Anolis sagrei: one gene and its partner. The protein of the gene in region 1 interacts with the protein of each later gene in a pairwise test. Links are inferred from orthologs where the notes say so. Each region holds a gene or a part of one and is shown in the gene's direction. Other genes may lie near its edges.

The links.
Region 2: the proteins of AKAP7 (region 1) and SPA17 interact in a two-hybrid assay, tested with the Homo sapiens proteins (3 studies listed by BioGRID and IntAct). The two-hybrid records come from large-scale screens. The link is inferred for Anolis sagrei from reciprocal best matches to the Homo sapiens genes AKAP7 and SPA17.

What each region holds. Positions count from the first base shown.
Region 1 is NC_090021.1:82,611,034-82,627,307, reverse strand, and holds the start of AKAP7 (A-kinase anchoring protein 7), read left to right. Parts: upstream 1-10,229; 5' UTR 10,230-10,291; coding exon 10,292-10,526; intron 10,527-16,274. UniProt on the Homo sapiens protein: Probably targets cAMP-dependent protein kinase (PKA) to the cellular membrane or cytoskeletal structures.
Region 2 is NC_090027.1:18,391,011-18,407,317, reverse strand, and holds the start of SPA17 (sperm surface protein Sp17), read left to right. Parts: upstream 1-8,411; 5' UTR 8,412-8,538; intron 8,539-10,244; exon of another isoform or gene 10,245-10,249; 5' UTR 10,250-10,275; coding exon 10,276-10,429; intron 10,430-15,626; coding exon 15,627-15,697; intron 15,698-16,307. Other genes in the region: SIAE (sialate O-acetylesterase), read right to left, coding at 693-854, 4,432-4,486. UniProt on the Homo sapiens protein: Sperm surface zona pellucida binding protein. Helps to bind spermatozoa to the zona pellucida with high affinity. Might function in binding zona pellucida and carbohydrates.

The sequences.
Region 1 (16,274 bases):
CTAATAATTATCTCAAACTAAATGATTTTTCCTCTTTGCTCCCTAATTTCTGGCATCGCAGTAACTTAAAACTTCATTGAACATTTGGAAACATAGTACAATAAGATGCCAGTACCTCCAGAGGGTATGTTCTCAGCCGTACGTTCTCAGCCAGACCGTAGTTACATAAAACTGTGGATACAACCAAATTCAATTAAAATGCCTTACAGCATTCATAGAGTTGCATTTGAGGACCTAGAAATTCATAGAGACCATTTTCCCCTGTATGCTATGGGTTCTATGGTTACGTCTCTCTTACAGTATAAGTATCCAAAAAAGCAGCAAGTAAAGTTACTATTGAAATGCAGTCACAACATAGATCAAGAGTTCTAGGTGTGAATGATTTTCAGTGTCTCACTATCTACAATGCTAGAAATTTGGAGAAGAAAATAATTAATTTTGCCCCCCTCTGTAGCTAAACCTCATCCTGCTTCCCTGCCTACTTCACGGCATGTCTAAAACATGCCTTTTAACACATTAAAAATATTGACATGTCTAGCCTCAATACAGACGGCTGTCCAAAAAAATCAGGAGACAAACTTTTGCATAGCTAGGTGAAATACTGCATTGGGAAGGCTGGGTGGAAGAGAGATCAACAGGAAAAATGTGATGCAAAATTTCCACCCTCCTGAAATTGAGTACAATGTACTCAGCCACTTGGAACAATACAAATCCGAGTGTTTTCATAACAAGATGAATGGTTTGCTTACAAATCCAATCATATGTTATATTCTTTGGTTTTTAAACAAAGAATTGTAGCCCACGCCTTAAAAATGCTCCAAAAGTACAACTCAGTGAATTCATTCAGAAATCTTCTGCCCTAAGGAGTCATTTGGAATTTGTGTTTTAATTGTTTTAGATGTGCAGATAAAACATGGGGGAGTAATATTACCAAATGTTCTTTGCAGATTTTTCAAAAAAAGCAACCCTTTTCCAAGTATCCCTCAGGAACAAAAATTCCAGGCACTTTTAAATAATAAGTTGAAGTAAAAATATTTAAACTTGTAGGGATTCATAGGCAGTTAGATCCAAAGAGCACAAGTTCAGGATTCTTCTGCAAAAGCGCAAAGGATGTCAGTTGTAAATATTTACTACTTTGGCTAATCCTAAGATTTAAAAAAGATGCAGAGACAGAGTCAACTGTATGCCCTGTTTGGAAATTTTCTAGGTAGCCCTAAAGCTATCTATACCAGTTCCATTTAGGGAACTGGACTGGCCATTTTCCTGTAGTTTCAGTAGTGAGTCATATCTGTTTTAGGTGGCTGGGGACATATTTCAAAACCCAAAAGTGATTATGTAGTCTTAAACAGACCAAAGTCCCAAATACATGAAATGACCCTTTTGGAACATTTTTTCAGTATATCAATGGTTTGAGATGGGCAGGTGCAGCCCTCCAAGATCTCTCTCTCTCTCTCTCTCTCTCTCTCTCTCTCTGTGTGTGTGTGTGTGTGTGTAGAAATGAAGCTCCTTGTCATCTAGAAGTTGCTCACCTCTACCACAGTCCAAATCACAATCCACAAAAAATTGACACCTTTATTGGCCCCTCAAAATGCAGAAAATACATAATGCAAGCTGAAGGTGGTCTGGAGGGATTTCAATGCAGGGAGAGGCACTCCCCCTCTTGGCCATGAAGGTACATTGGGAAAAGAGCTTTAAAAGATAGGTGGAGATGGAAGTGTGGTACAGTGAGCATTGGACTATGGCTCTGGAGACCATGGTTCAATTCCTCCCTCGGCCACAGAAAGCCGCAGCATGACCATGGGCAAGTCGTACATTCTCAGCCCTAGAAAACCATGTGATGCTCACCATAAGGTTGCCATAAGTCGGAAATGACTCAAAGGCATGCAACATCCAGTAGAATTTCAGCTCATTAGCAGCAACAACAACAACAAAAAAGAATTTCCTTGAGATCCAGGTTGTCTCACTCCTGGGGCTAACTCCCCCTAGGCAGAGAGCATTGAATTTCTCAAGAAGTCCTTATTACATCTGGAAAAACAGGTGTTGCGTAGGTGAAATGTGTCAGTTAATGTCCAGATGAAAGGCTTACATTTGTTGGATGTTAAAACCTCAAAGAATCCTAGTTCATTAGCTCCCCCTTGTCAAAGTTTCCCCTATGGAAGAAAAAAAATTGTATCTTCAAATCTAAGAGACCTATTCAAGCCCTTGCAGCAATACATAACAAAATACAAACTCCACAAGAGCAATACTTAGCTTCTTGAGAGATTATGATGCTAATAATTAAAATTGTTTTGCCTCTCATTTATTGCTTTTTGTTCTTGGTCCTCAACATGGCCAAGTAGGGAACTGGTCCCTTCCTGTATTAAGATCTTGCCAGGCTCTCTTAACATATGAGACAAAATGTAAGCTTGTGACTCTAGATCATAACCTTTCAATCAAATACGTGAATTATCAAATCCACCGAAGTCAATGCCATAAATGTGGCAGGACAAATCTAATAACAATAGCCAAGGTGGCTGTCATAGTCATGCAGGAAGCAGGTCTTGATCAGCTCGGCTATTGTGTACTTCATGTACAAAGAAGCACGTAACATTGTGTACAATAGGTCAAGGGAGGAAAGAGATAGAAATTTAAAAAAAAAGTTGCAGTGTGGAGTGCTCCTGTATCCTTTTCTAAAATAATCAATTTCATCGCATTTGTTTTCAGTCAATATAGCTATTGAATACGCTCAATGTTCCCTGAACTCTCCCTTTTCTCCCTAGAATGTTTGTACATCTGCAAACCTTGGGGTTCCCCAGGCCTGCAGACAACTCACCCTTGGGTGTCAGAGATGCCTTTTTCTTTACAAAAGTATCTCCATTCAAAGAATGGGTTAATATGGGAAGAATAATACAATAGTTATTCACAGTTTGGCATTTTGAACAGAAAGAAGCAAAAGTGAAGAGGCATGAAGTGGAAGAAAAGTCAGAAATGACATGGTGACAGAGAAAAGACAGAGAAATGCAAAAGCAAACCAAAACGGGAATGCTGAGAGCACAGGATTTTACCAAAATTGAAGTTACGGCAGCTACTTTAAGAGGTTTGAATCCAGTGGTTTAGTCTTGAAACAATGGTTTTACACGATCTGTAAATAGCCATTTCTTCCATCTGGAACAGCATAACGCTTGGATCCGATTCTGCATTCTTCACTTGGAAAAAACCCCTCCCAATGAAGTCAATAAAGTCGTGTTGATTTTTGTTGTTGAGGGGGTGAATCGAGCCTCCATGCACAAAAATGCAAAATCTAGTCTCTTGGTCAGAAAGGAAATGACTGCACAGTGTTCACATTAAGCTGACATTGTCTGTTTGTTGTTGATATTCTTTTTTAACGACTTGCTCAACATGTTTTCTCAGTACAACCATTTGAATCTGAAGATTACTTTCAACATAGTCAAGATATTGGACCAGTTCCATCCAAATGGCTTTTCATTCTGGCTCCAAATCCCACAGACTTGTTATATATGCTGCTGGGAGTATGAGGCTCTCTCCCCACCCCACCTCCCACCCCATGCATTGAAACGTATCCCCCGCCCCTTGAGACATTCCATGACATCCTCTTTGGTGAACAGCTTCCGACAATGTTTCTCTCCAACTTGCATCCTTTTACTTAGAGATAGGTTTTCTTTGGCAAAAGTGCTGCAGACATCCCCTTTTAACTAGTTTCCTGTTTCATGCTGCCTTCATAGAGCAACGCAATGTGGCATTCTGGAACTATGTCAAAGCCTGCGTTTAGAAAAGTATAAGTTATGCACACTGTGCTTGGAGGCATAATAAACCTTGCCATGCCTCTGCTAGCAAATACTGCTTGGAACCCACTAAGGCCTGGTCTGGCAGTATACTTTGTGTCTTGGATCTTTCACAGAGCACTGTGAAAACGATCAAGCGTCTTAAGCAAACACAAAAGCTCCAGCTCAGAGGCGATTACATATCTGAAAAGTCATGCGCCTCTCCAATATAATTTAATGCATCACCACACCTTCTTTCCAAACAAAGATAAGATGATTTGCTCTGAAAAATAAGACAATAGACTTCATTGTCTTTCCACTCTGTAGGATGTGAAATTGACCCATAGGAGCAAAGGAACTATCTGTAGTAGAAGAGAAAACAATCAAACAGTGCATCCACATTCCACATACTATGGAATGGAAAAGATCTCAATGAATACTTTTGCTAGCTTGTCCTCAAGAAAGTGAACATGGGGTAATGATTTAGGAGACCACCATATGTATCACAGAAACCCAGTTGGTGATCTTGAGCAAGTCACATTCTCTTAGCCTCTGAAAAGACAATAGCACGTCCCTTGTGAACAGATCTTGTAACAAAACCACATGTTCAGTTTGCCTGAGGGTCACCATAGTGACTTGAAGGCATACAACCAGTACAATTTTACCTGTTTGTTATATCTTCTTAAAAATCCCAATTTTAATAGTGCTTCAGCTAAAGCTTCATCTTATACTTACTTAGGGGATGTGTTTATTATTGTATACATACCAAGCGGGATCCTGACCTAAGGCCTAATTCAAGGGTGAGATCCATTTTGTTATGTGGATTCTTTATGGTAGGTGTGGTCTCATTCCTTAGTCTTGGTAGAGACATCCAGATAAAGGTTTTAAAGAAAAAACTAACAACTAATATGTATTAAAATCAGTAACATAACAGATTAACTCTTGAGAATTATTCTCTTACATGGTCCCTTCAATACCAGAGCCAGTTCTCCTTCCTAACTGCTTTATCTTGCTGAAATTGTCATCTTGACTCTGTCTGCTCTCACACCTTGTCTGCTTTTCAGAGACTGCTATGTTCTTCTTACATTCTTTTCACCTACAGCTTACCTTCAGAGCATTCCCAAAGCTGTAATTGACTACCTTTCACCCAGCTTACCCAGCAACTCCCTTCATACTGCCTCGTCATGGGCCACTAAAAATTGTGAAAAATAGATCCCATAATAAAAAAGTATTTTGTCCCAGAAATCAACGCACATACCATACATAATGCAAGTGCAAGGCCAAGCACATATATCACTGATTATTCTGCAACCACCAGAGCAGAGCTTGTAGTCTGCACTGAAACATTTCATTGTAGAGTAAATTTTATGAATTAATACTGAGGCTGCATCTCTAAATACATTTATTATGGAGCAATATGTACAAATACAGTGAGACTTCCCTTTCAAAACATGCATCGGATTTCTCTATAACCGCCAGTTAATTTTGACAGAACAGGCCCATGCATGGTTATCCAGATAGCAGTCTCACTGCACTCAATTAAGCTTATTACTAGTTGGCAGCCTTAGGGCCCTATTCTATACCCAATTATCTGAGAGTAATCTCACAGTTTCAAAATGTTGGTATTTTCTGTATAACTATCCAACTGCAGATCTGACATTCATCCAGCCTAATGTTTGTTCTTTAGCTTCTAATGAATCTTGATTTCTAGCAACTCTCCTTACACTGAAATGAAATTTGCTTATCACTTTCATCAGCAACATCATACATATGTATAACTTATTGTAACTTTATCTGTGTCATTCCGGCCTGTATTCTATATCTTCTTTAACCTATAGATTGCCACCACCTCTAGAACGACGTGCCCTTCTTTGTCCTTTGTTTACAGTTTGTATTAATATCAGAAGGCTTTCTCCTTTCCACCAGTTTCTCCTTTCCACCAGCTTAAATCCAGGCATTCCAGTTTCTCTTGTGATTACCGCTCCCAACAACACCTGTGCCAAAATGTACTACAAAGGTTGAGCGCTCGCTGGCACTACCCACACAAAGTACATTTTCTGTCTTCACACCAGGCTGGCAAACAACGCTGTGTCCTGCACCTGACAAATCAATTTCTGGGTTTCAAGTGATCAAAGTGCCACAAATATAAACCCGACAGACACGTCGTTCTGTTGTAGAGTGTGCAAAACAAACTATAGTGATCTGTCACTCAGTACTTTTTCGCACCCATGTGATTGTTGGATTTTTCATTTTTGTTTCACCCGAAACCATGTCAAGCATTAGATGCTTAACAAAAACCATGATCTGATGGGATAGTTTTATATCCAAAAATCTGGTGCCAACAATCTTCCCCAGAGGGTTTTTCATCCCTCTAGAACAAGTTTTAGGTCACATGAGGGACTGCCAATTGCGGCAGAAGCTTCAGGCTTCTATTGAAACACGTAATTGGAACCTGGGCAAAAAAAGTGGAAACCCTTAGTTCCTCCGGCCAAATGATACAGAATAGAAGCCGACCTACTTTCAATATGTAATTATGTAAAAAGTGGAACCTTTAATGTTCACTGTAAATATTAATCTTCATCTGCTTTGGCCCTTAAAAGTTCTAGACAGCTTCAAGGTCCAACTGGTCTTACAACATTCTGTAGCAGAACACCTGTTTTGAAGCTAGATAACAAACCTGTTCCATTTGTTCTGAAAGATATAATCCTCATCTCAAATCAAGCATATATTTAAAAACCCTGCAGCCCATTTAGTTGAACGGAAGAAGTATGCGTTCTGTTGAAGCTTCGTATCCATAGATTCAGCATTCATGAATTCAACGTACCAGGCTGTGGCGTAGCTAGTTAGTAGCCAGGTGCATTAAAACACTACTGACAGAAAGGTCATGATTTCAAAGCCAGCCCGGGTCGGAGTAAGCTCCCGACCATTAATAGTCTAGCTTACTGTTGACCTATGCAGCCCAAAAGAAAATTGCACCTGTCAAGTATTATTATTATTATTATTATTATTATTATTATTATTATTATTATTATTTTATTTGTACCCCGCTAGCATCTCCCAAGGGATTCTATGCGGCTTACAACAGGCCAAAGCCCACACAATATAACAATACAGTACCTAGCAAATAAAACAGTTAAGCAAGAACAATAACAATAGTAGTACAACAAGACATTATTAAAAACTGAGCCGGCCAGTTTTACTACCTAAAGTAGTAAATTTAGGTACCGTTGTATGCAGGGAGGCTAAGTTAACTAAGTTACGATGCCATAAAACCTTCCAGCAGCATGCAGGAGAATGAGGAAGTACTCCATCAAAGGACCCGGTGTCACAAGTGGATGGTGAAGCGACAGCTTCCCCCTGTGGCCGGAATCGAGCATACCCTCATGAAGCCAGAAAAGCTGGAATGTTAAATGGCCTCTGTGTCTGTCTATATATGTTGTATGTCAAAATGGCATTGAATGTTTGTCATGTATGTGTGCATTGTAATCCGCCCAAGGTCCCCTGTGGGGTGAGAAGGGCGGAATAAAAATACTGTAACTAAATCAATAAATAAATATCCACAGCGTGAAAATATTCAAAGAAAATAAGGGGAAAAAATCCTTGTTTTTGCCATTGTATATAAGGAACACCATTTACTACATCATTGAATGTGATGGAACACACATTCATAGATCTTGGGGTCCTGGAACCAAACTCTGTGGATACCAATGGTCCGACTGTAATCCAAACTAAATTAATTTTAACAATTTAAAGAGTTACAGCGACACAAATGCATAAGATGGAATGGAATGTAACTGCAACGCTGTGAAGGTCTCTCAATTCAAAATAATAGAAAGAACCCTTCAAAATGGCCATGTTAAAAACAATCTAGGGGCTATCTTTGTGTAACTGCTGATTTCATCTGCTTTGTGTGTACAAAACGGATTAAATCACTCTAATTTCCACCTCATTTCCTTGTGACTGAAAGTTTTGCACTTCTGGAAAAATAGCTCCTCCTTTCTCTAAGGTTTTTTTCTCTCTCCCTGGAGAGAACATCCTTTGCAGAAACTCTTAATTGGTTCCATCTGTACAGTTCAGCCTCTTTCCAGTATCTTATTAACTCCTTCCCTTCCAACTTAGGTTTCTAATATTGTTACCAGATGTATTGTCAGTTTTATTAATACTGTAGTATGAGGGCAGTATGAGGTGCAGCAGGTTAAATGGCTGAGTTGCTGAACTTGCTGACTGAAAGGTTGGTGGTTCAAATCCAGGGAGCAGGGTGAGCTCCTGCTGTTAGGCCCAGCTTCTGCCAGTTTGAAAACATGCAAATGTGAGTAGATCAATACCTTCTACTCACTTCTACTTGCCTTCTGTGGGAAGATAACAGTGCTCCATGCAGTCATGGCCACATGACCTAGGAGGCGTCTACAGACAATGCTGGCTCTTCGGCTTAGAAATTGAGATAAGCACCACCACCCCTCCCCCCCCCCCCCCCCGAGTTGGACACAACTTGAGTTAATGTCAGGGGAAAACCTTTACCCTTTTATGGGGGCAAAATGATTGCCCACACAGAAAATGCAGAAAGCTGGACAACGTGAGCTATTTAGGCTTAGGCTCAGTGTCAACAAAGGCTGTACTATTCAGAGAGAGAGAGAGAGCAGCTGCAACCCAGCTCCCCAGAACCAATGCGGGTGCAGCTGTTTGGGAGTCAGCTGTATTAAAATTACTACTGACTGAGAGGTCATGAGTTCGAAGCCAGCCTTAGCTGGAGTGAGTTTCTGGCCATTTGTCTAGCTTGCTGTTGACCTTTGCAGCCTGAAAGACAGTTGCATCTGTCAAGTAGGAAATCTAGGTACAGCTTATGCGGGGAGGCTAATTTAACTAATTTAAGATGCCATAAAACTCTCCAGCAGCTTGCAAAAATGTGGAAGTACTCCATTGGTGTCACAAGTGGATGGTGAAGCGACAGCTCCTCCGGTGGCCAGAATTCAAAAAGCATACACTCATGAAGCTGGAAAGTTAAATAGCCTGTGTCTCTGTCTATATATGTAGCGTGTCTATGGCACTGAATGTTTGCCATGAATGTGTGCATTGTGATCCGCCCTGAGTCCCCTGTGGGGTGAGAAGGGCAGAATATAAATACTGTAAATAAATAATAAATAATACATGCACATCTGCACTATAGAATTGATGCAGTTTGACACCACTTTTAACTGCCAGGGTTCAATGCAATGGATCCTGGGATTTGTAGTCTGGTGAGGCACCAACGCCCTTTGGCGGAGAAGGCGAAAGACCTTGTGAAACTACAATTCCAGGATGCTAAAGCACTGAATCATAGCAGTTAAAGTGGTATCAAACTGTATTAACTCTATAGTGTAGATCAGGCATGGGCGAACTTGGGCCCTCCCTCCAGGTGTTTTGGACTTCAATTCCCACAATTCCTAACAGCCTCAGATCCTTTTCCCTTAAGCAGAAAGGGCCTGAAGCTGTTAGGAATTGTGGGAGTTGAAGTCCAAAACACCTGGAGGGAGGGTCCAAGTTTGCCCAGGCCTGGTGTAGTTTATCCCTGGAAGACAAAAAGTGGGGTTTGCAACCCTGTGACCACAACACCCCAGATCAAATTGTGATTCAATATTAAATTTGTAGTTCTGATTAAAGATATATACATCTTAGAATCATAGAGTTGGAAGAGACAATAGGATTTTATCCTTATCAGTCTCAGATAGAATAGAATCATAGAATCAAAGAGTTGGAAGAGACCTCATGGGCCATCCAGTCCAACCCCCGCCAAGCAGGAAAATTACATTCAAAGCACCCCTGACAGATGGCCATCTAGCTTCTGTTTAAAAGCTTCCAAAGAAGGAGCCTCCACCACACTCTGGGGCAGAGAGTTCCACTACTGAACGGCTCTCACAGTCAAGTTCTTCCTCATGTTCAGATGGAATCTCCTTTCTTGTAGTTTGAAGCCATTGTTTTGCGTCCTAGTCAGGGCAGCAGAAAACAAGTTTGCTCCCTTCTCTCTATGCCTTCCCGTCATATATTTACACATGGTCATCATGTCTCCTCTCAGTCTTCTCTTCAGGCTAAACATGCCCAGCTCTTTAAGCCGCTCCTCATAGGGCTTGTTCTTCTGGACTTTGATCAGTTTAGTCGCCCTCTGGACACATTCCAGCTTATCAATACCTCCTTTCAATTGTGGTGCCCAGAATTGGACCCAGTATTCCAGGTGTGAAGAACAAAGAACAAAACGGATTAAATCTAAAATATTTTTAAAATACAGTATTTAAACCAATACTCTTGAGCAAATAACAGCTGTGGGGGATGTCACATCTTTAAAGGATTGATCTATTTGGGGAGAAGGTCCGCATTTCGGTATTCCTGCGAGGAAGGGCGGGGGAATTTGAAAGGAGTCGGTTTTGCACACGGCCCCACCACTTGCATTGCATCATGGGATCCGTAGTTCCCCCACAGCGGCCATTCCACAAGGACGCGTTTCTAAATCTCTTTCTTGGCCCTTCCGGCGCCCCGTAGCAGGAGCAGCTTCCCTAGCTATGGCGCTGCGTTTGTTGCTCCGAACCCTGCGCGCCTCCTGCCTCGCCGCTCCGCCTATTGGTCGCCGGATCCCCCTTTGCTCACCAGCGCCCCTGGCGGCCGGGCGAGGAACGGCCAGCTGTAGGGCGTTCCGAGAACGCTGCCTTCTATTGGCGGAACCTCAGAGGCTGGCGATGGAGGGCGAAGCGGGAGAGGAGGAGCCGCCTGTCCTGCCTGCGACCAGCGGGCAGACCGGTGAGGAGAGAGAGGAGAACGCGGACAGCCCCCTTATTCGTCCCCCAAAGAAAGGGCGGTGGAGGGAGAGGAAGAAAGGACCTTGAAACCCAGATCTGGCTCAGTTTTTCCCAAAGCCTGGCCTTCCTTGTGTTTTGGACTTCAACTCCCAGAGTCCCTGCTCGTTGACTCCTACAGCTGAGGATTCTGGGAGTTGAAGTCCAAAACAACCCAAAGGACTAGCCTTTGGGAATTGCTGTGGAATTGATGCAGTTTGACACCCCTTTCACTGCCTTGGTTTGAGGCTATGGAATCCTGTCAGTTGTAGTTTTACACGCCTTTTCTGCCAAACAGTAAAACTACAATAAAACAAGGGCCCGGTCCTATTCAACATCTTTGTTAATGACTTAGATGAAGGCTTGGAACAGGGATCCTCAAACTTTTCAAGCAGAGGGCCAGGTCGCAGTCCCTCAAACTGTTGGAGGACCGGATTATAATTTGAAAAAAACATGAATGGATTTCTATACACACTGCACATATCTTGTTTGTAGTGTAAAAACACTTTAAAACAATACAATAATTAAAATAAAGAACAATTTTAACAAATATAAACTTATTAGTATTTCAGTGGGAAGTGTGGGCCTGCTTTTGGCTGATGAGATGCCATTGTTGTGTGATTTCAGGTTGTTTCAGACTTAGGGTAAATGCCCTTGGGGGGCCATATCCGGCCCCCAGGCCTTAGTTTGAGGACCCCTGGCTTAGAAGGCATGATCATCAAATTTGCAGACGACACCAAATTGGGAGGGATAGCCAATACTCCAGAAGACAGTAGAATACAAAACGATTTTAACAGATTAGAGAGATGAGCCAAAGCTAATAAAATAAAGTTCAACAGTGACAAATGCACGATACTCCACTTAGGCAGAAAAAATGAAATGCAAAGATACAGAATGGGGGGGGGGGGGGTGCCTGGCTTGAGAGCAGTACGTGTGAAAAAGATCTTGGAGCCCTCATGGACAACAAGTTAAAAATAAGCCAACAATGGGATTTTGGCCTGCATAAATAGGAGTATAGTGTCTAGATCCAGGGAAGTCACGCTACCCCTCTGTTCTGTCTTGGTTACACCACACTTGGAATATTGTGTCCAGTTCTGGGCACCACAATTCAAGAGAGATATTGACAAGCTGGAATGTGTCCAGAGGAGGGCATCTAAAATGATTAAGGGTCTGGAGAACAAGCCCTATGAGGAGCAGCTTAAAGAGCTGGGTTTCCCTTGTCCCCCCACTCTTCTAGTAAATGTTGAATAAAAAAAATCAGGGAACACTCACTCTTGCTTTCTCCATGGCCACATTTGTTGATGTCTGCATGAAGACATCTGCAATGGCTAGGAGCACTCCAGATATCTGACAGCAGTAATGGGGGATGGTTAGGTGACAGTCCAGCATTTCTGCTTTGGATTGGTCCTGCAATTAAGCAATCGGTATAGATGAGCCCATGGTTAGAACCAAACTATGTGCTTTGCATGCCTGACAGCTGACAGTTGGATTACTCCAGACTAGATTATGGAGGCAATCTGTACTTTGAATGGTCAATAGTATACATGATAGCTATGTATAAATGTGTGAGAGGAAGTCATTGGGAGGAGGGAGCAAGCTTGTTTTCTGCTGCCCTGGAGACTAGGATGCGGAACAATGGCTTCAAACTACAAGAGAGGAGATCCATCTGAAAATTAGGAAGAACTTCTTGACTGTGAGAGCCATTCAGCAGTGGAACTCTCTGCCCCAGAGTGTGATGGAGGCTTCTTCTTTGGAAGCTTTTAAGCAGAGGCTGGATGGCCATCTGTCGGGAGTGCCTTGAATTTGATTTTCCTGCTTCTTGGCAGGAGGTTGGACTGGATGGCCCTTGTGGTCTCTTCCAACTCAATGATTCTATGATTTCTATGATTCTAATACTAATAATAATAATACAATATTATAATTATATATTTTATATTACATGTAACATTACTAATAATATTACAATATAATGGTGTAGTACAGTATAGTAATATATAATACTGATATTGTATTATGCTAATAATATATTGTATATATATCTTGTAAGCCACTCTGAGTCCCCTTTGGGGTGAGAAGGGCGGTATATAAATGTCATAAATAAATAAATAAATAAATACAATTGGTAAGATTGCCTAGCATTGAGCCATGGCAGTGAAAGTGGTGTCAATCTGCACTATTTCTACAGTATGGATGCACCCCTCTTTCCTTTAGAGCAGTGGTTCTCAACCTGGGGTTCCCAGGTGTTTTTGGCCTACTACTCCTAGAATTCCGAGCCAGTTTACCAGCTGTTAGGATTTCTGGGAGTAGAAGGGCAAAACATCTGGGGACCAACCGGTTGAGAACCAGTGCTCTAGAGAAGAATAATAGGCAACCTATACACATGATATGAAGGTCATTTTATACATATTTCAAATATGTATAAAATACATATTTCAAATAATTTGTCACATGAAAAGTGTGTGTACATAGAAGCTTAGAAAGCAAAGATGCCAATGTGTTGTCGAAAGTTTTCATGGCTAGAATCACTGGGTTGCTGTGAGTTTTCCAGGCTGTATGGCATTCTCTCCTGAAGTTTCACCCACATCTATGGCAGGCTTCCTCAGAGATTGTGGGGTCAGTTGGAAACTAGGCAAGGAAGGTTTATATATCTGTGGAAGGTCCAGGGTGGTAGAAAGAACTCTTGCCTGCTTAAGGCAAGTGTGTATTGGCCAACTTGATCAGCCTCACAACCTCTGAGGATCCCTGCCATAGATGCAGTCAAAACGTCAGGAGAGAATGCTTCTGGAACATGGCCATACAGCCCGAAAGACTTACAGCAACTCAGTGATTCCAGCCATGAAAGCCTTCAACACTACATTGAATAGACTTGCAGCTTCAAAGCCTGCCTCAAACAGACAGGAGTTCTTTCTCCCACCCTGGACATTCCACAGATATATAAATCTCACTTGCATAGTTTCCAACAGGCCTCACAACCTCTGAGGATGCCTGCCATAGATGTGGGTGAAATGTCAGTAGAAATGCTTTTGGAACATGGCCATACAGCCCGGAAAACTCACAGCAACCCAAAGATGTCGCTCTCTCAGCCACCCATCTAGGCAATTGTAGAGTATTTTGGAATTATGGGCAAGGGATACTCAACATGTATGAGTTTCTCTTCCTTCCCATTGCTGGTAAACAAGTTGGTGTATGTCGCATCCATGTAAAATCAGCTTTAGTATGTGCAGTCATTAGACCGATGCCATGGAAAACTGATGGTGCTCCTCCATTGTGGAATAAGTGCAGTTTTACAGCACTTTAACTGCCATGGCTCAATTCTGTGGAATTTGTGGTTGTTGGAGTTTTACAAGGCCATTAGCTTTCCCTGCCAAAGAGTGCTACAGCGTAGATGCACTCATATGTACAAATCGCCTCTGGGACTAAATGACCTAAACAAATCTTGGATCGGTTATGCCCCTTATGGAGAATGTGAATCAAGCAATAACGGAGTACATCGATACCTACAGTTGTGTCAAAGAGAAGCACTTCTCAGAAATTTGTTCCTTATAGTACAAGATCTATTATATACAGCAGTCTTTACCCAAAGGTTTTTAATGTCCAGTATTCCTTTATTTATCTCCCACCTTTATCTGAATACTGACTCCAATATAAATTTACAACATAAAGCCCAAGGAAGCTCATAACATGATTTAAAAAGAGAGACAACTGAAAATGTTATAATATTAAACATGAGCATTAAAAATATTGAAGCAACTGCATTTTCAAAATAAAAGGCGTGCCGGCAAACGAGAAGTGTAGTACTCCTATTAAAAGTTTAACATTCAGCAGATAGTTAATTGCCAAAAGCTTGCCTTTGCTCTTGGAATGAAAGAGCGCCATCATGGGCATTGGATTAGGAATTTGGAGACTAGGGTTTAAATTCCTGTTCAGTCATGGAAACCCATTGGGTGACCTTGGACAAGCCACATACTTTTAGCTTCAGACAAATGCAATGCCAAATCTCCTCTGAACAAATCTTGACATATTTGTATATTTTAAGTTGTATTGCAATGCTTTAGTTATGAGCCGCTTTGAGTCTCCATATGCAGAGAAAAAGTGGGATATTAATAAACATTATAAAACATAATAATAATAGAATATATTTTCCCCCTCCGCCAGCTTGGTATTCTCTGGAAGGGAATTTCACAAACTCGGAGTAGCAGCAAATATTTTAATTGTGGGACATACCAAGCAACCCCCCCCCCTTTGTTTTCCCAAAGGTTAGAATTGATTTTTCTGACCTCCAGGCAGATAGTTTGACTGCCTCTATATGACTCTTCCAGTTACCATTATATGAGAAGTAGATGCCCAGGTATTTAAAGCTGTGACATTGTTCTGTTGGGTGGCCATCCAGTTGCCATTTATGTATCTGCTTCCTCTTGGAATAATACAAACCAGACATTTGTAATTGTTATCATTTATCATTTTAAAGGGCCAGTAAAGTTTTAATATTTATATTGGAAAGTGCTTATTGTACTTTTATGTCATGGCCTATGGCTAGCACAATAAACCATTCATTCGAACTCGGAGTATCATTAAGAAAACCCTATGGGTATCCCAGGACTAAGGAAAAGACTTAAAGGTTTGACAGGTGCATTTAGGGAGTTGCAGTCACCAGTTAACTTAAACCCAACTGTAAAGGGCATTGCAAGATATACCCACTCTTTTTTGATTGAGGCACGACTTCTGCTATCCAGCCATGGTCAAGACTTTGACTGCAGCATTTTGGACCTTGGAAAGAGTTTATAAAGGTAGCCCCATGTTGTTGGGTTAGATAAAAGAGCATGGGTTGTCATCCTTCCTCTCTAAATGCACCTGTCAGACTTTTAATGGAACTCAAAATGGCTTACATAGGATTGTTCATGACTCGACCATTCAAAAGCTGACCTGGTCAAGATCTCCTAGTTTTAAACAAAACAGGCTGAATTGATTTTAGATCTAGAGCTTGACACTAGAAATATGAACTGTAATAGCAATATTAAATGGAAGTAAATCAACAGGTAGTCTGTAAAATCAATGCAATTTGACACCACTTTAATGGCCATGGCTCAATGCTCTGGAACCTTGGGAGTTGTAATTTGGTAAAGCAGCAGTGCTATTTGGAAGAGAAGGCTTAAGACCTGTAAAAGTGGAGCTCCCACGAGTCCACAGCACTGAACCATGACAGTTACAGTGGTGTCAAACTGCATTAACTCTACAATGTAGATGCACCCTGAGTAAACTTACTCAACTTGTGGGTATGGTTCTTGTGATAATACTTATAATGCAGTACCCTTTCACAAGGCAGCAGGAGGAAAGAGGACTCTGGAAATTCATTTGCTACATATAATTAGCATAAAAGAATGAGGATGTTCCATTACAATCTATTATGTTAACTGTCTACTAATTCTCTTTTGAATGTTCATGTAATTATTGATGATTCACTTTCACACACAATGTTATTACATTTGTGATTCTTGTCCTCTCTTTGGTTGGCATAAAATTGCCATGTGTGTGTGTGTGGGAGAGATAATATTGTTATTATTTTCTTACACTGCACCCTTTCAACAGTTATAAAAGATATCTATTTGAGAATGACTTATCTGAAAGTGACCTATCCAGTGCTACCCAATGAACTTCATGATCTTAAATCCAGCTCTCTGCTCACTATATGAACATTGCTCAGTGTCACAAATTG
Region 2 (16,307 bases), on another chromosome or scaffold:
CAAAATAATAACTATTACACTATGTAACAAAAATTTGAAAAATATCTGTTCCTGGTCTGAAAGTGTTATTTCAAACCAGGAACAGTAACTTTTTGTTTCTGTGGCTGCCTCAAACTTACGTTGAATTGGTTGAGATCCGATGAGATAGTCATAAAAAACTAGAGCAAACCATTATGCACTATATCTGAGAAAAACAAAGTTTTTTTGCAGTTTAATAAACTTTTCCCATGTTTTTATGATGGAACCAATTAGGAAATAACATTCATAATCCAGGAACAAAAATCATGTTACATAGTAGTAGTAATATTTGTTACTTATTACTATTATGCTTCCTTTTTTTCTTAGTTCTTTGCACTCTGCTGGTTGATAATTAAGCAATTGGTCTTAACTTTGGTCCTTGATTGTTTTGGACCTTGGCTCCAAGAACTAAACAATGGCTAGTGATCAGAGATTCTGGAACAAGAGTTACTGAACTAATAATGTTATCAGTCTCTAAAGCAGGCATGGGCAAACTTCGGCCCTCCCGGTGTTTTGGACTTCAACTCCCACAATTCCTAACAGCCGGTAGGCTGTTAGGAATTGTGGGAGTTGAAGTCCAAAACACCGGGAGGGCCGAAGTTTGCCCATGCCTGCTTTAGAGAAATGTGCAATTGAAAGGGTGGAAAACAGAGTCATATCTTTTCTTTGATTACCGCGCACTTCTGCAATTTCTTTCATCGTAAAGTTCTGCTCCTGGGAAACAGTCACGGTAATGTCGGCCCCGGGAGTCCCATAGCCCCAGACGATTGCACAGCTGGGTTCCTTCTGCAGCACCATGTGATCCCCATAATAGTTTGCAAAGCGAAGCTGGGTACCTGGAAGGCATGAAAAGGTACAAAAGTCCCTATTAAGTCACATTTCTTCAAAATCCAATTTTCACAGGGACAGAAAGTGAGGTGAAATCTTCTGAACAGGGGCACAGACAGCAAAGGAAACCTCACAGGGTGTTAACCGTTCCTCACAGGGTGTTAACCGTTCCCTAGGTGTGAATGTTTCAACTGACCACCTTGATTAGCATTTGATGGCCTGGCAGTGCCTGAGGCAATCTTTTCTTGAGAGGTGATTAGATGTCCCAGATCGTTTACTCTCTGTTGTTTTGCTGTTGTAATTTTAGAGTTTTTTTTAATACTGGTATCCAAATGTTGTTCATTTTCATGGTTTCCTCCTTTCTGTTGAAATTGTCCACATGCTTGTGGATTTCAATGACTTCTCTGTGTAGTCTGACATGGTGGTTGTGAGAGTGGTCCAGCATTTCTGTGTTCTCAAATAATATGCTGTGTCCAGGTTGGTTCATCAGGTGCTCTGCTATGGCTGATTTCTCTGGTTGAAGTAGTCTGCAGTGCTTTTCATGTTCCTTGATTCGTGTTTGGGCAATGCTGCGTTTGGTGGTCCCTATGTAGACTTGTCCACAGCTGCTTGGTACACGGTAGACTCTTGCAGAGGTGAGAGGATCCCTCTTGTCCTTTGCTGAACGTAGCATTTGTTGGATTTTCTTGGTGGGTCTGTAGATAGTTTGTATGTTGTGTTTCCTCATCAGTTTCCCCATGCGGTCAGTGGTTCCCTTGATGTATGGCAAGAACACTTTTCCTCTGGGTGGATCTGGCTACCAGTATTAAAAAAAATACAACAGCAAAACAGTAGAGAGGAAAGAATCTAATCACCTCACAACAAAAGATTGCCCCAGGCACTGCCAGGCCATCAAATGCTAATCAAGGTGGTCAGTTGAAACATTCACGCCTAGCTCCAACAGATAAGAGTTCTTTGTCCCACCCTGGTCATTCCACAGATATATAAACCCATTTTCCTAGTTCCAACAGACCTCACTGCCTCTGAGGATGCTTGCCATAGCTGCAGGCGAAACGTCAGGAGAGAATGTCTCTAGAACATGGCCATATAGCTGGAAAAAACCTGCAACAACCCAGTGATTCCAGCCATGAAAGTCTTCGACAATACATTATAATTATATTTTATAATAATATAGATAGACTAGCCATCCCCTGCCATGCGTTGCTGTGGCCCAGTCTGGTGATCTGGAAAATTAATGAGAAAGTGTTGGTTTCTAATATGCGTAATTTCTTGATGCTTGTGGGTAAACAGTATTTCTTGTTCTTTCTTTGTCAGTGTTGATGTGGAGAGTGTCTGGTTTGCCCACCCTGGAACATGCAACATATCATTATCCTTCTTTAAGGGTCCCTTTCAAGTCTATGATACTATATCTGTGTGTGTGTGGATCATATATATCTATTTATATCTATATAGCTGGATGGCTCTTTGTCAGGAGGGGCTTTGATTACATTTTCTTGCCCTGGTGAAGGGAGTTGGACTGAATAGCCTTAAGTATTTTCTGTTGGTCGTGGGGGTTCTATGTGGGAAGTTTGCCCCAATTCTGTCGTTTGTGGGGTTCAAATGCTCTTTGATTATAGGTGAACTATAAATCCCAGTAACTACAACTCCCAAATGTCAAGGTCTATTTTCCCCAAACTCCATCTGTGTTTATATTTGGGCATATGGAATATTCGTGCCAAGTTTGGTCCAGATCCATCATTGTTTGAGTCCACAGTGCTCTCTGGATGTAGGTGAACTACAACTCCAAAACCCAAGGTCAATGCCTACCAAACCCTTCTAGTATTTTCTGTTGGTTGTGGGAGTCCTGTGTGCCAAGTTTGGTCCAATTCCATCGTTGGAGGAGTTCAGAATGCTCTTTGATTGTAGATGAACAATAAATCCCAGAAACTACAACTCCCAAATGACAAAATCATAATTTTTGAGTGATGGTCACCCTTGTGTAGTGAGATGTTTTGTTGCCAAATTTGGTGTGATTTCGTTCATCGATTCTTTTGTTTTTAAGGTACTCATTATGCATAGAGCATTTATATATAGATAGAAGATGGCTAGTATTACACTTAAAATGTACCTGCTCCAAATTACATACAAATTCAGCTGGAAAAACCTACAGAACTGATCTTGTTCATATCTTGGGGACGGCCTGTATAATGCAAAATATCATCAGACACATTGTCCTATATGCTCATGTATAAGTCTAGAGACATTTGAGTCAACTCAAAAATCTGGGTCGATTTCTCCAGGGGTCAATGTGAGCATTGCACCTTGCCTCTTACATAAAATAATGCAGCCTGGCAGCATTTTAACAGCCATGGCTCAAGGTTATGAAATCCTGGGAGTTGTAGTTTGGTGAGGCACTAGCCAACACCTTGCAAAAATGACAGCTTTAAGGATTTCATTGCCTGGAGCCAGAGGTGGCTCATCCATTACGCGAAGTAAGCGGTCGCAGAACACTTTTTTTTGCCAGGGGTGCAGAGGTGCCTCTGTAAATGCCCCTCGACCGCCACTTGAGGAGCGCCCCCTCAGCTCACAACAGCCCTAGCAGTCCGGGGGGAGCCTTGGCTTTCTTGCCTCACTGCCGGGCGATCCTCTTCCCAAAGAGGCCGGGCCCTTGAGCCTCGCCTAGCCCCTCTCGTTCCTGCTCCACCCGGCCACTGGGTGCGCGAGCAGAGCCGGTGCTCAATTGTTCTCCACGTTCGATCCCTTCCCCATGACCGGCTCCCTTTCCTGATCCCCCAGCGCTCCACCCACCTCCTCTCCTCTCCCCAATCCGTGGGTGGGCCAAGAAGCGGAGCCGCCGCGCCTGGCCCGCTTTGGGTCCGGAGGCGTGTCTGAAGACCCCAATGTGCGCACCAAAAGTTGCCTCTTCTCCTGATTTTCTCTTCAGCCATTGGGACCAAGAGAGAGAGAGAGAGAGAGAGAGAGCTCCTCCGGCTGGAGGTATCTCCCACCTCCGCTCCCTCCTTTGTTTTTGCGCCTACCTTCAGGAAAGGTGGGCATCTCCACCTCTCTCTCTCTCTCTCGGTCCCAATGGCTGAGGAGAAAGTCAGGAGAAGAGGTGACTTTTGGTGCACACGCCGGGGTCTTCAGGCACGCCTCCGGACCCAAAGCAGGCCAGGCAAGGGAGCAAGTGCGGCAAGTGTAGTTACTGGGATGTATAGTTCACCTAAAATCAAAGAGCATTCTGAACTCCACCAATGAAGGAATTGAACCAAATATGGCACACAGAACTCCCACAACGAACAGAATATATATATCAATGATTGGTTGGGGGGGGGGGGGGGTGCGCCAAAATACTGTTCGCTTACCATTGAAAATTACCTAGGGCCACCTCTGCCTGGAGCCATGGCAGCTTCCAATGGTCTCCAATGGCATTCACTCAATCAGTGGCACCCAAAGCTTGGTCTTCTAGATTTTGAAGACTTCAACTCCCAGAAGCCCCAGCCGGTTTGGTGAGCTACCGGGGATTCTGGGAGATGGAGTCCAACCTTCCTAGCATTGGGCTCTATGGGGGCGCCGGCCGCACATGCGCAGTCGCTCTGGCCTTACCTGCGCTCCAAGCGAAGAGCAGAACGGGGGCGAGGAAGAGCCGCGGGGACGCCATGGACCTCTCGAGCCAGCCAACGCTTGCTTCCAAGAGCCTGGGGCGCTCCTCCGAGGGCTGACGCGCGGCTGGGAGGGAGGAGTCGCCTTGTGTGACCTCACACTGGGCCAGAGCAAGCCCGGAGGGAAGGAAGCAGGCAGAAGGGCACGCTCCGGGCAAGGTCTGCTCTTTGGACTTCAGCTCCCAGGAGCCCTTTTCATTGGCCACAGCAGCGGAGGCTTCTGGGAAATGAAGTCCAGGGCGAGAGACTGGCAATCACTGCCTACAGCAGGTATGGGCAAACTGCAGCCCTCCCTCCAGGTGTTTTGGATTCCAACTCCCATCATTCCTAACATTCCTCAGCCGCTTAAGCGGCTGAGGGGGAAAAGGAAGGGGCCTGAGACTGTTAGGAATGATGGGAGTTGGAATCCAAAACATCTAGAGCCCCCAAGTTTACTCTTGCCTGCTCCAGAGCATGGATCCTCTTTGAATCCAGTTTCTGCCTCCTGCAGAATTCTGGGGTTTGTAGTTTAGGGCAGTTTAAAGGCACCTCACTAAACTACAAGCCCCAGAATTCTGCAAGAGGCCACAACTGGATCCATGCTCTAGTGATGAAGTCCAATTGTCTCACCCAATTTAAGTTAGTTTGTGGCAGGCGCAAAAACAAAGTGTCTGGAGCATAACAAATACTTTCAGAGTAAATACTGCACAATGAAACAAGAAATAACACTTTCAAATCTGGAATAGGGTGGGGGGGGGATCAATTTTTGTTACATAGTGATTATCTACTTTGAACTGGAGTCTATTTATTTATTTACTAGCCGTCCCTTGCCACACGTTGCTGTGGCCCAATCTGTGTATATGTGTTTTGTGCGTGGATATATGTGTTTCCATATGTGGTGGTCGTGTACCAAGGCCAAGATATATTACAGAAAAACACAGAAGACACTACAGGAAATACTAAATATTAGGCTTGGGCAATCCATGGTTCTAAATGGTTCTAAAGTACTTACAAAACTAAAGTTCTGGTGGCGAAAATTTCAGAACTCTAACAAAACTCTCAAAATTTCATAATGAATGGCAGTTCCTAATTGGTTCTGTTATTAAAATCACCAATAATGAAATAATAATTAAATTTTGAAAGTTTTGTTAGAGTTCTGAAATTTTCACCACCAGAACTTTAGTTTTGTAAGTACTTTAGAACCATTTAGAACCATGGATTGCCCAAGCCTACTAAATATAAGAATTCCATTTGAACCAGAAATATTCCTATTAGGAATAACAGACCAAGAAATAGAGAAGAATACAGATAAAATCCTCTTTCTGTTAAATACAGCAACGAGAATTTGTTATGCGAAACTATGGAAAAAAGAAGACATACCAGAAATTAGCGACTGGATAGAAAAAGTGATAGATATCAAAAACATGGACAGGTTAACATATTTAATAACAAAAAATAAAGGGACCCCAATAAAAGAGACCGACTGGACAAAGGTAACAAACTACCTAAAACAGAGAAATGGATACACAATAACATGAAGGGAAGAGAAAACAAGACTGAAGAATGAGAAGAAAGAAAGAAGAGGAAAAACCACCAGAAAGATACTCAGGAAGTCAACAAAGGAGCCATAACAATCTGCTCCTATTTTTAGCTCTATTTTTTTCTTTTTTGCTTTTCTTCTTGTATCTGCCTATTTGCCTTTTCCCTATTTTTTCTTTTCTTATTTGTTTTTGCACTATTCTTTGCACTATTTTTTCTCTGCACAAAATGGAAAAAAATCTGTTTTTCAATAAAGATGATTATTAAAAAAAGATATATGTGTTTATGTGTGTGTATTTGTGTATATATGTGTGTTTCTATGTATATATGTGGGGTTATATGTGTGTATATATATGTATGTGAATTTTATATATATGTGTGTGAATTTTAGTGGACATGCATATTGTGTATATTTTTGTGTAGGCATGTGTATTCATGTGTATATGTATGTGCATGTGTATGATATATGTATGCATATATTTGTGTGTATATGTGTGCACACATGTGTATATGTATGTGCATGTGTATATGTATGTGCATGTGTATATGTATATATGTATGTGTGCCCAGCGAAATCTTCTGCGTTTTAATGTCTGATTTTATATTGTTGTGTTGCTTATTACATTGTTTTGCATTTCGTGTATTTTATTTTTTGGTTTTATTATGTTCTTGTGTTATTTTGTTGTGTATTGTAGTGATGGACGTGGCCTCATGCAAATCTCCCTTGGGGGAGATGGAGCGGGGTATTAATTAATTATTATTATTATTATTATTTTATTATTATTATTATTATTATTATTATTATTATTATTATATGTATGTGTGTATATGTGTATATGTGTATATTTGTGTTTGTGCATATATATATACGTGTGTGTATGAATGTGTGCATGTGTATATGTATATGAGTGTATGTGTATATGTATATATGGTGTATTTTTTGGGTTTTTAAGTCTGTCCCGCTGGAGTTTTTGTGTGTGTGTATTTAGGGGGGATGGACACTCGTTGGTCTGTTAGGTGTCTTGTGTCCAAATTTCGTGTCAATTCGTCCAGTATTTTTTTAGTTATGTTAATCCCACAAACGAACGTTACATTTTTATTTATATAGATTATTTATTTCCAATATTTCTATCCTGTTCCTTCTCGACCCCCAAAGGGGGACTCAGGATGGCTTACATTTTGGCAGCAATTCGATGCCACTACATATAACACAGCAATATAATAACAATTAAAACAATATGTTTTGGCCTTCAACTCCCAAAAATCCTAAGGGCTGGTAAATTGGCTGGGATTTCTGGGAGTTGTAAGCTAAAACACCTGGGAACCCACAGGTTGAGAACCACTACCTGAACCTGAAGCATATATAATATTATAGATTAATATCACCATAGATAATTATAGAATCCTAGAGTTGGAAGAGACCTCATGGGCCATCCAATCCAACCCCATTCTGCCAAGAAGCAGGAATATTGCATTCAAAGCACCCCCGACAGATGACCATCCAGTCTCTGTTTAAAAGCCTACAAAGAACTAGCGCCCACCACACTCTGGGGCAGAGAGTTCCACTGCTGAACGGCTCTCACAGTCAGGAAGTTCAGATGGAATCTCCTTTCTTGTTGTTTGAAGCCATTGTTCCGCATCCTGTCTCGAGGTTGGCAGAAAACAAGCTTGCTCCTTCCTCCCTATAACTTCCCCTCACATATTTATACATGTCCCTCATGTCTCTTCTCAGCCTTCTCTTCTTTAGGCTAAACATGCCCAGTTCTTTAAGCTGCTCCTCATGGGGCTTGTTCTCCAGACCCTTGAGCATTTTACCCTCATCTGGACACATTCCATTATAGATTAATATCATCATAGATCATTATATCCGGTTCAAAGCAGATATTGTGGTATTTATATTATATTATATTTATTTTATTTATATTTATATATATTTAATATATTTATATTTATTTATATTAGCAATATAATACTAATAATATCATCATAGATAATTATAGAATCAAAGAGTTGGAAGAGACCTCATGGGCCATCCAGTCCAACCCCATTCTGCCAAGAAGCAAGAATATTGAATTCAAAGCACCCCTGACAGATGGCCATCCAGCCTCTGTTTAAAAGCTTCCAAAGAAGGAGCCTCTGCCACACAATATTATCATAGATGCGCCCCACTGGACTGGCTTAGTCTGTCAGTTTGTGCTTAGCACTGTGCAACGCCATAAAAAGCCAGCGATGACGTCATACGCCGGGTCTGACGTCACTGCTGGCCTTCTATGACGTCGTCTTTTCCTCCCTCCCACCCTCAGAGTCCCCGAAGGCCAAGGATTCAAGGCGGGCGGGGACAAAAAGCTAAGCGGCTTCCTGATTGGGCGGGCGTCATTGAATGGCGGGGGCTTCGGCCAATAGGTTGGCGAGGGGAAAGGCTTTAATTGGGAACGAAGAGTTTTGTCCCTTTCCCGTCGCCGTCGGCGTTGCCTAGACAACCGACAACAAAGGCCGGGCTCCCTCCCCGTCCCTTCCATTCCACGCTGAAGAGGTAAAGCGAGGCCGGGGTGATGCTTGTCGCCGGCGGGCCGGGTTGGGAAACCAAGGGTTGGTTCAGCATCCCTTTCCCACTGGAAGAGCTCAAGCCTGGCCTGCGCTCTGGTCGGGCATGGGCGCGTCCACACCGTGGAATTAACGCAGTTTGGTGCCACTTTGCAGAGAAGGCCTTGCTAAACTGAAGCTAGTCCCCTCTCAGCACTGAGCCATAACAGATCCAAGGCCCCTTCCACACAGCTATATACAATCCCACATTGTCTGCTTTGAACTGGGTTATATGGCAGTGTGGACTCAGATAACCCAGTTCAAAGCAGATATTGTGGGATTTATATTATATTATATTTTATTTATATTATATATAATATTTATATTTATTTATATTAGCAAAATAATACTAATAATAATAATATAATATATTTATATTACATGTAATATTACTTACTTACTTACTTACTTACTTAGGCGATCCCTCGTTGGACGAGTAAGATGGTCTTCCATGATGGGATTCCTTGTGGATTCGTAGGTGGCTGTGGAGCCCTATTCTTGTTCCGCATCTTCTCCCACAGTGAGGGCATCGGTTTCCAGGTGGAAGGCGGTCCTGGTCAGAGTTGGCTTGACGCGCCTTCCTCCTGGCACATTTCTCTCTTTCATCCTCCACTCGTGCCTCCTCGAATTCTGTAGCACTGCTGGTCACAGCTGACCTCCAGCTGGAGTGCTCAAGGGCCAGGGCTTCCCAGTTCTCAGTGTCTATGCCAGAGATTTTAAAGTTGGCTTTGAGACCATCTTTAAATCTCTTTTCCTGCCCACCAACATTCAGTTTTCCGTTCCTAAGTTCAGAGTAGAGCAACTGCTTTGGGAGACAGTGGTCAGGCATCCAGACAACGTGGCCGGTCCAGTGGAGTTGATGGCGGAGGACCATCGCTTCAATGCTGGTGGTCTTTGCTTCTTCCAGCACGCTGACGTTTGTCCGCTTGTCTTCCCAAGATATTTGCAGGATTTTCCGGAGGCATTGCTGATGGAATCGTTCCAGGAGTTGTATGTGACGTCTGTAGACAGTCCACGTTTCGCAGGCATAGAGCAGGGTTGGGAGTACAATAGCTTTATAGACAAGCACCTTGGTATCCCTACGGATGTCCCGGTCCTCAAACACTCTCTGCTTCATTCGGGAAAATGCTGCACTCGCAGAGCTCAGGCGGTGTTGTATTTCGGTGTCGATGTTGACTTTGGTGGAGAGGTGGCTGCCAAGGTGGCAGAAATGGTCAACATTTTCTAATGTTACACCATTAAGTTGTATCTCTGGCATTGGGGAGGGGTTGGCTGGTGACTGCTGGAACAGCACTTTGGTTTTCTCGATGTTCAGTGACAGGCCAAGCTTTGTGTAGGCTTCTGTGAAGGTGTTTAGAGTGGCTTGTAGATCTTCTTCTGAATGCACACAGACGACATTGTCATCAGCATACTGGAGTTCTATAACAGATGTTGTTGTAACCTTGGTTTTGGCTTTCAGTCAGTTTTCAGTTAAGGTCAGTAGTCACAGCCTAGTCTTGGCTCCAGGGGTACAGTTACCCAAGCACATATATTATATCAAGATTCTATGTCTTGATAATGGCGGAAAATAAATAAATAAAGAGATAAAGTGGTAAATAAATAACTAATACTCCCAATTTTCAAATTATGTCTCTTCCATTGGTCTTATAAATGAAGTGCAGGTGAGACGGAAACCTCCTGAGCGGCAATGGCGATTCCATTCTCCAATACCACGCAACGCATTCCTCCAGGGTTTGCGAATCTGCTCGAAGGCCTGGCCAGGGAAGTCTTGAGGAGCCAACCTGAAGATATACCAAGCTTTGCAGCCAAGTACTTTGAAACTCTTCTCATCGAAAGAGAAAGTGAGCCTCAACTGAGTTAGCTTCTCAAGCATTTCATGAAATTAATATATGTGAATCTTCAGCCAGACCTAAGAAAGACTCCTACAGTCTATATCTATGTACATTTACTCAGAAGTATGTCACTAGGATAGGCATGGGCAAACTTTAGCCCTGCAGGTATTTTGGACTATTGGTTGTTAAGAATTGTGGGAGTTGGAGTCAAAAACACCCGGAGGGCCAAAGTTTGCCCATGCCTGTACTGGGGCTTAGTCTGCCATGTAAAGTGTGCAAAAGACTGTGGTCTGAAAGGCACTTGATTATCCCAGCTATACAGTAAAAGACACAGTCTGCTGCCTGCTATAAAATCTGGTATCTTTAAAAGTCCCATTCTCATTTTGTTTACAAAAGTTTGGGACTCTCATAATTGTGGAGACTAGCCAAACAACATCAACTGGTGAGCAGTCAGTATTTGAAGATGATATAATTTGACCTGATGTCAATCATGGGATAATACTGGGTCAGTTTAATCTTATCATTTTTATTAGAAGTAAATCCCTTTGGAATGTATAGGCTTTCCTTCCAGGTACATAGCATCTTTTTATCTGTTTAGAGATTCAAGGACCACATTGCCTTAAACACAAGGACCATATTGCCTTAAACACACTTAGCCAGCATGTCAACGACTTAGGATGAGGTACCAAATATTCTTCTCATCACTTCTCATTGTATTGTCATAATAATACTGTTGCATAAGTCCGCACCTGTATGCTTGTCCACTATGCCCTGCCTCATGTACAGAGGAAGAATTGTCGGAGGCTACAGACAATGCCATTGCTGTTGCCTGTTTTTGGTCAAAAGATACTTAGCCGCCTGCGCTCCTATTTTATCAGTTTTATACTAATTTATGCAGTGCTTTTGGTACGAAATAAAATAAATGAATATTTATTTATTCATTTATCATGTAAGGAACAAGCCAAACAATTGTACTGCATTTTTAAACAAACAAACAAAGAAAGTTTGCAAGCTTGGTAGTTGATTAAATGCCCTTTGACCAGTAGCTGGCCACTTGGAGTGCCTCTGGTCTATAAGAAGGTCCTCCATTGTGCATGTGGCAGAACTCAGGTTGCATTGCAGCAGGTGGTCTGTGGTTTGCTCTTCTCCACACTCGCATGTGGTGGATTCCACTTTGTAGCCCCATTTCTTAAGGTCAGCTCTGCATCTCGTGGTGCTAGAGCGCAGTCTGTTCAGCGCCTACCAAGTCGCCCAGTTTTCTCTGTGCTCAGGGGGGAGTCTCTCATTTGGTATCAGCCATTGATTGAGGTTCTGGGTTTGAGCCTGCCATTTTTGGACTCTCGCTTGCTGAGGTGTTCCAGTGAGTGTCTCTGTAGAACTTAGAAAACTATTTCTTGATTTAAGTCGTTGATGTGCTGGCTGATACGCAAACAGGGGATGAGCTGGAGATGTCACTGCTTTGGTCCTTTCTGAATAAATAAATAAGCCAGGATGAGAATTGGTGACTGGCACAAGTCAACTAAGATAGTTTCATAGGTGAGAGGACAATTGAGCTCAGGTCCCCCAAGTCTTAGGCAAACAATCTACTGTATATACTCGAGTATAAGTCTAGTTTTTCAGCTCTTTTTTTTAGACTGAAAAAGCTCCCCTCAGCTTATACTTGAGCCAAGGTTATTTATTATTTTACTCTGTTATTAGTATTTTTATTATATTTATGTTATTACTCTATTATTATTTTATTACATTTATTATTTACTCTATTATTATTTTTATTACATTTATTATTTACTCTATTATTGTTGATATTATTACATTTACATTATTTTACCCTATTATTTTCATTACATTTATTATTTTACTCTGATTACATTTATTATTTTACTCTATTATTGTTATTAAATTTATTATTTTGCTCTCTTTATTATTATTGGAAAGATACGTAAGCACATGTACATTGAAGGAGGCTAGAATAATGGTTTCATCCGAGCTGGACAGTCTTCCATTACAGTTTTATGTAAATACTAGCTGTACCCACCACGCGTTGCTGTGGCCAACCTTCCCTCCCTCTTTCTCTCCTCCCTTCCCTCTTTCCTCCCTTTCCTCTTTTTCTTTCCCTATCTCTCATCTTTCTTCCATCTCTACCTGTTTCTTTTCTCCCTTTCTTTGCTCTTTGGTTACATCCATCCTTCCTTCCTTCCTTCCCTCCCTCCCTCCCTATCTTTCATTCCTTCTCTCCTTCCTTCTCTCTCTTTTTCCTTTCACTTTTTATTTCCTTCTCTTTTTCCTTGCTTCTCTATCTATCTATCTTTCTTTCTTTCCTTCTTTCCCTCCCTCCTTCTCTCCCTCCTTCCTTCCTTCTTTCCCTCCTACTCTCGTTACTTCTTGACTGTCCCTTGCATTTAATATTGTATTTATATCTTACATAGAAAGACAGGAAGGAAGGAGGGACAGGAAGGAAGGGAGGAAAAAGGAAGGGAGGGAGGGAAAGAAGGGAAGGAAGGAAAAGAAAGAAGGAGGGACAGGAAGGGAGGGAGGGAGGAAGGAGAAGGAAAGAAGGAGAAGGAAGGAAGGAGGAAGGAAGGAGGGAGGAAGGAAGGAGGGAAAGAAAGGAGGGCAGGAAGGAAATGAAGGGGAAGGAAATGAAGAAAGGGAAAGAAGGTGGAAAGGGAGGGAGGGAGGAAGGAAAAGAAGGAAAGGAAAAAAGGGAGGAGGGACAGGAAGGAAGGGAAGGAGGGAAAGAAGGAAAGGAAGGAGAAGGAAAGAAGAAAAGGAAAGAAAGGAAAGGGAGGGAAGAAGGGTAGGTAGAGAAGGAAGGTCCTTCATTCAAGCACCGTGGACCTTCCTCGCCTTTTCGTCCTCCTAAAATTAGGTGCCTCGGCTTATGTTCAGGTCGGCTTATACTCGAGTATATATGGTAATTATTACATCATTTTGGCTTTACTCAAACAGAAGTTATTTTCTTAATAGGCAGCTCAACATGGCTTCGCTGTTTTTTAGGTGGTTTGAAATGTATAGTAGAGGCTCCTAGAGAATGGTAGTATGCAATATGCAAATTATTGGGAAATGCAAGAGAGCATTTCTCTGTATAACATACAGTATAAACATTTTTTTCCCATTTTCCCAACTGAGTCAATCAGCTCTGCCTGCTGTAGGTGGAAATCTACTTCTTTTTGCTGGGAGTAAAATTGCTTCTGCCCCTCCTTGGTTTAACAGACCTTCAGATTTATTTTGGTTTTTGTTATGTGAAGATGTTGCTAAGCAGATTGACATCGAAGCGAATGATTTTAATTGCATAGGGCACAGTAGCAGCTCTTACATAACAGAGTTCTATGAATTCGGCACCAAAATAAATTCTTCTTGCCCTGAAATCCAAATTTTGAAGCCTGAGCATATATTATGCCATTTAAGAACAGTGTGCAGATTTTTTAAAAAAGCAGGGCAGGAATATTTCCAGTGCTAGGACGAATTGTTCCCCTGCATGTGTGCACACACATATACATAATTTTAAAAAGAGGCCAGCAAGTACTAGTGGGGCATAAGTCTGTGTGGAATAGAAAAAAAAAAGGTTTTTGTAGGCTATTGTAACATTTTAAGAACAGGAAACAGGTAAAGACGTGATCTTAAATGGGATTCCGTCTTCTCTTGACTTTTTTCACTACAGCAGTTAATCATTTTAAAGGCAGAACTGCTGACCGTGGTTCAAATCCAAGGAGAGCAGGTTGAGCTCCCTCTGTCAGCTCCAGCTCCCCGTGTGGGGGCATGAGAGAAGACCCCTACAAGGATGGTAAAACAGCAAACATCCAGGCGTCCCCCGAGGAACGTCCTTGCAGATGGCCAATTATCTCACACCAAAAGCGACTTGTAGTTTCTCAGGTTGCTCCTGGCACGAAAAAAATAAAAAAAATAAAATCATATTGCATCTTTATTAGGTTCTTGTAGTTTTTTCGGGCTATATGGCCATGTTCTAGAGGCATTTCTCTCCTCCAAGGAGAAATGCCTCTAAAACATGGCCATATAGCCTGAAAAAACCTACAAGAACCTAGTGATTCCAGCCATGAAAGCCTTCGACAATACATCTTTATTATCCTTTTGTTTTGGTGAAGAATTTTACTGAATTAGGATATCTCACAAACTTGGAGTCTGCCCATCCCTGCCTTTTGTTTCTTCTGCTAATTCCTTTGTAACTATGATGTTATTGTTTACTAGCCGTCCCCTGCCACGCGTTGCTGTGGCCCACATGGAGGTCCTGTGTGGGAGGTTTGGCCCAATTCTATCATTGGTGGGGTTCAGAATGTTATGTGATTGTAGGTGAACTATAAATCCCAGCAACTACAACTCCCAAATGTCAAGATTCTATTTTCCCCAAACTCCACCAGTGTTCACATTTGGGCATATTGAGTATTCGTGTAGTGTTTGATCCAGATTCATCATTGTTTGCGTCCACAGTGATCTCGGGATATAGGTGAACTACAACTCCAAAACCAAAGGGCACTGCCCACCAAACCCTTCCAGTATTTTCTGTTGTTCATGGGAGAACTGTGTGCCAAGTTTGGTTCCATACCATGGTTGGTGGGGTTCAGAATGCTCTTTGATTGTAGGTGAACTATAAATCCCAGCAACTACAACTCCCAAATGACAAAATTAATTTTTTTGAGTGAAGGACATGCATTGGGTTGTTAGGTGTCTTGTGTCCAAATTTGGTCTCATTTTGTCCAGTGGTTTTTGAGTTCTGTTAATTCCACAAACAAACATTACATTTTTATTTATATAGATTGTTTGCGTTTTCGGTTTGTGTTTTTGGTTTTTCTTTATTGTAATTGTCATTTGGGCTTGGCCTCATGTACGCCGCTCTGAGTCCCCATCGGGGAGATGGTGGCAGGGTATAAATAAAGATGATGATGATGATGATGATGATGATTATTATTATTATTATTGAAATGAGTATGTGATTTTTAATATGTCCTGGCTATTTAATGCCACAGAGAGTCTTGCCTTTGCTTCCTCCTTTCACTTGTAGGCTATTACTTGGGTTTGTTATCCTGCACAGGAAATGGAGGGCCCATGGCCCTTAAAGCTGGACTTTCACTGAGAAATGTTAGTTCCCTAAGTGTATTTTGTTGCAACTACCACTTTAAATAAACACATATTGATCAGGAAACTGGTTTTATTTTTATGTGTAGTTATTTTTTAAACATATTTTTTCCAGAAACTGGATATGACCCAAGTGAATGGGGAGCAAAGCTAGATGACAGATACTACAACAATCACGCTTTTAATGTAAGTATTACTCAGCTGGGGGCATTTACTTCCCTTTATTCTGCAGACTTGACAAACTGAACATGACATAGGACAGCAATGATCTTGAAAAAAGGTTTCTGGTAGCAATGAGAAAAATATCTGAGTGCATAGGGATTGTCATAGGATTGAGAATGTCCGTCTTCTCACTATAAGTTATTTTATTGTCGCTATACGGTCACTAGCAGCTTTGAATGGGAGGCAGATATAAATTGGAAAGGAAATAAGGTCTGCATGGAAAACAATTTCAGTGGCAACAATGCTGTGTTAGGAGAAGCAATAGTCAGGAGTGTAGCACTGAGAATCTTCCCTGTCATTTCTAATTACTGTATATACTCGAGTATAAGCCTAGTTTTTCGGTCCCTTTTTAGGCTGAAAAAGCTCCCCTTGGCTTATACTCGAGTCAAGGTTATTTATTATTTTACTCTGTTATTAGTATTATATTTATTTCATGTATTATTTTACTCTATTATTATTACATTTACAGTATGTTAGCCTATTATCATCATTATTATTTTACACTATTTATGATTATTATTGCATTTATTATTTTACTCTTATTATTACATTTATTATTTTACTCTATTATTTA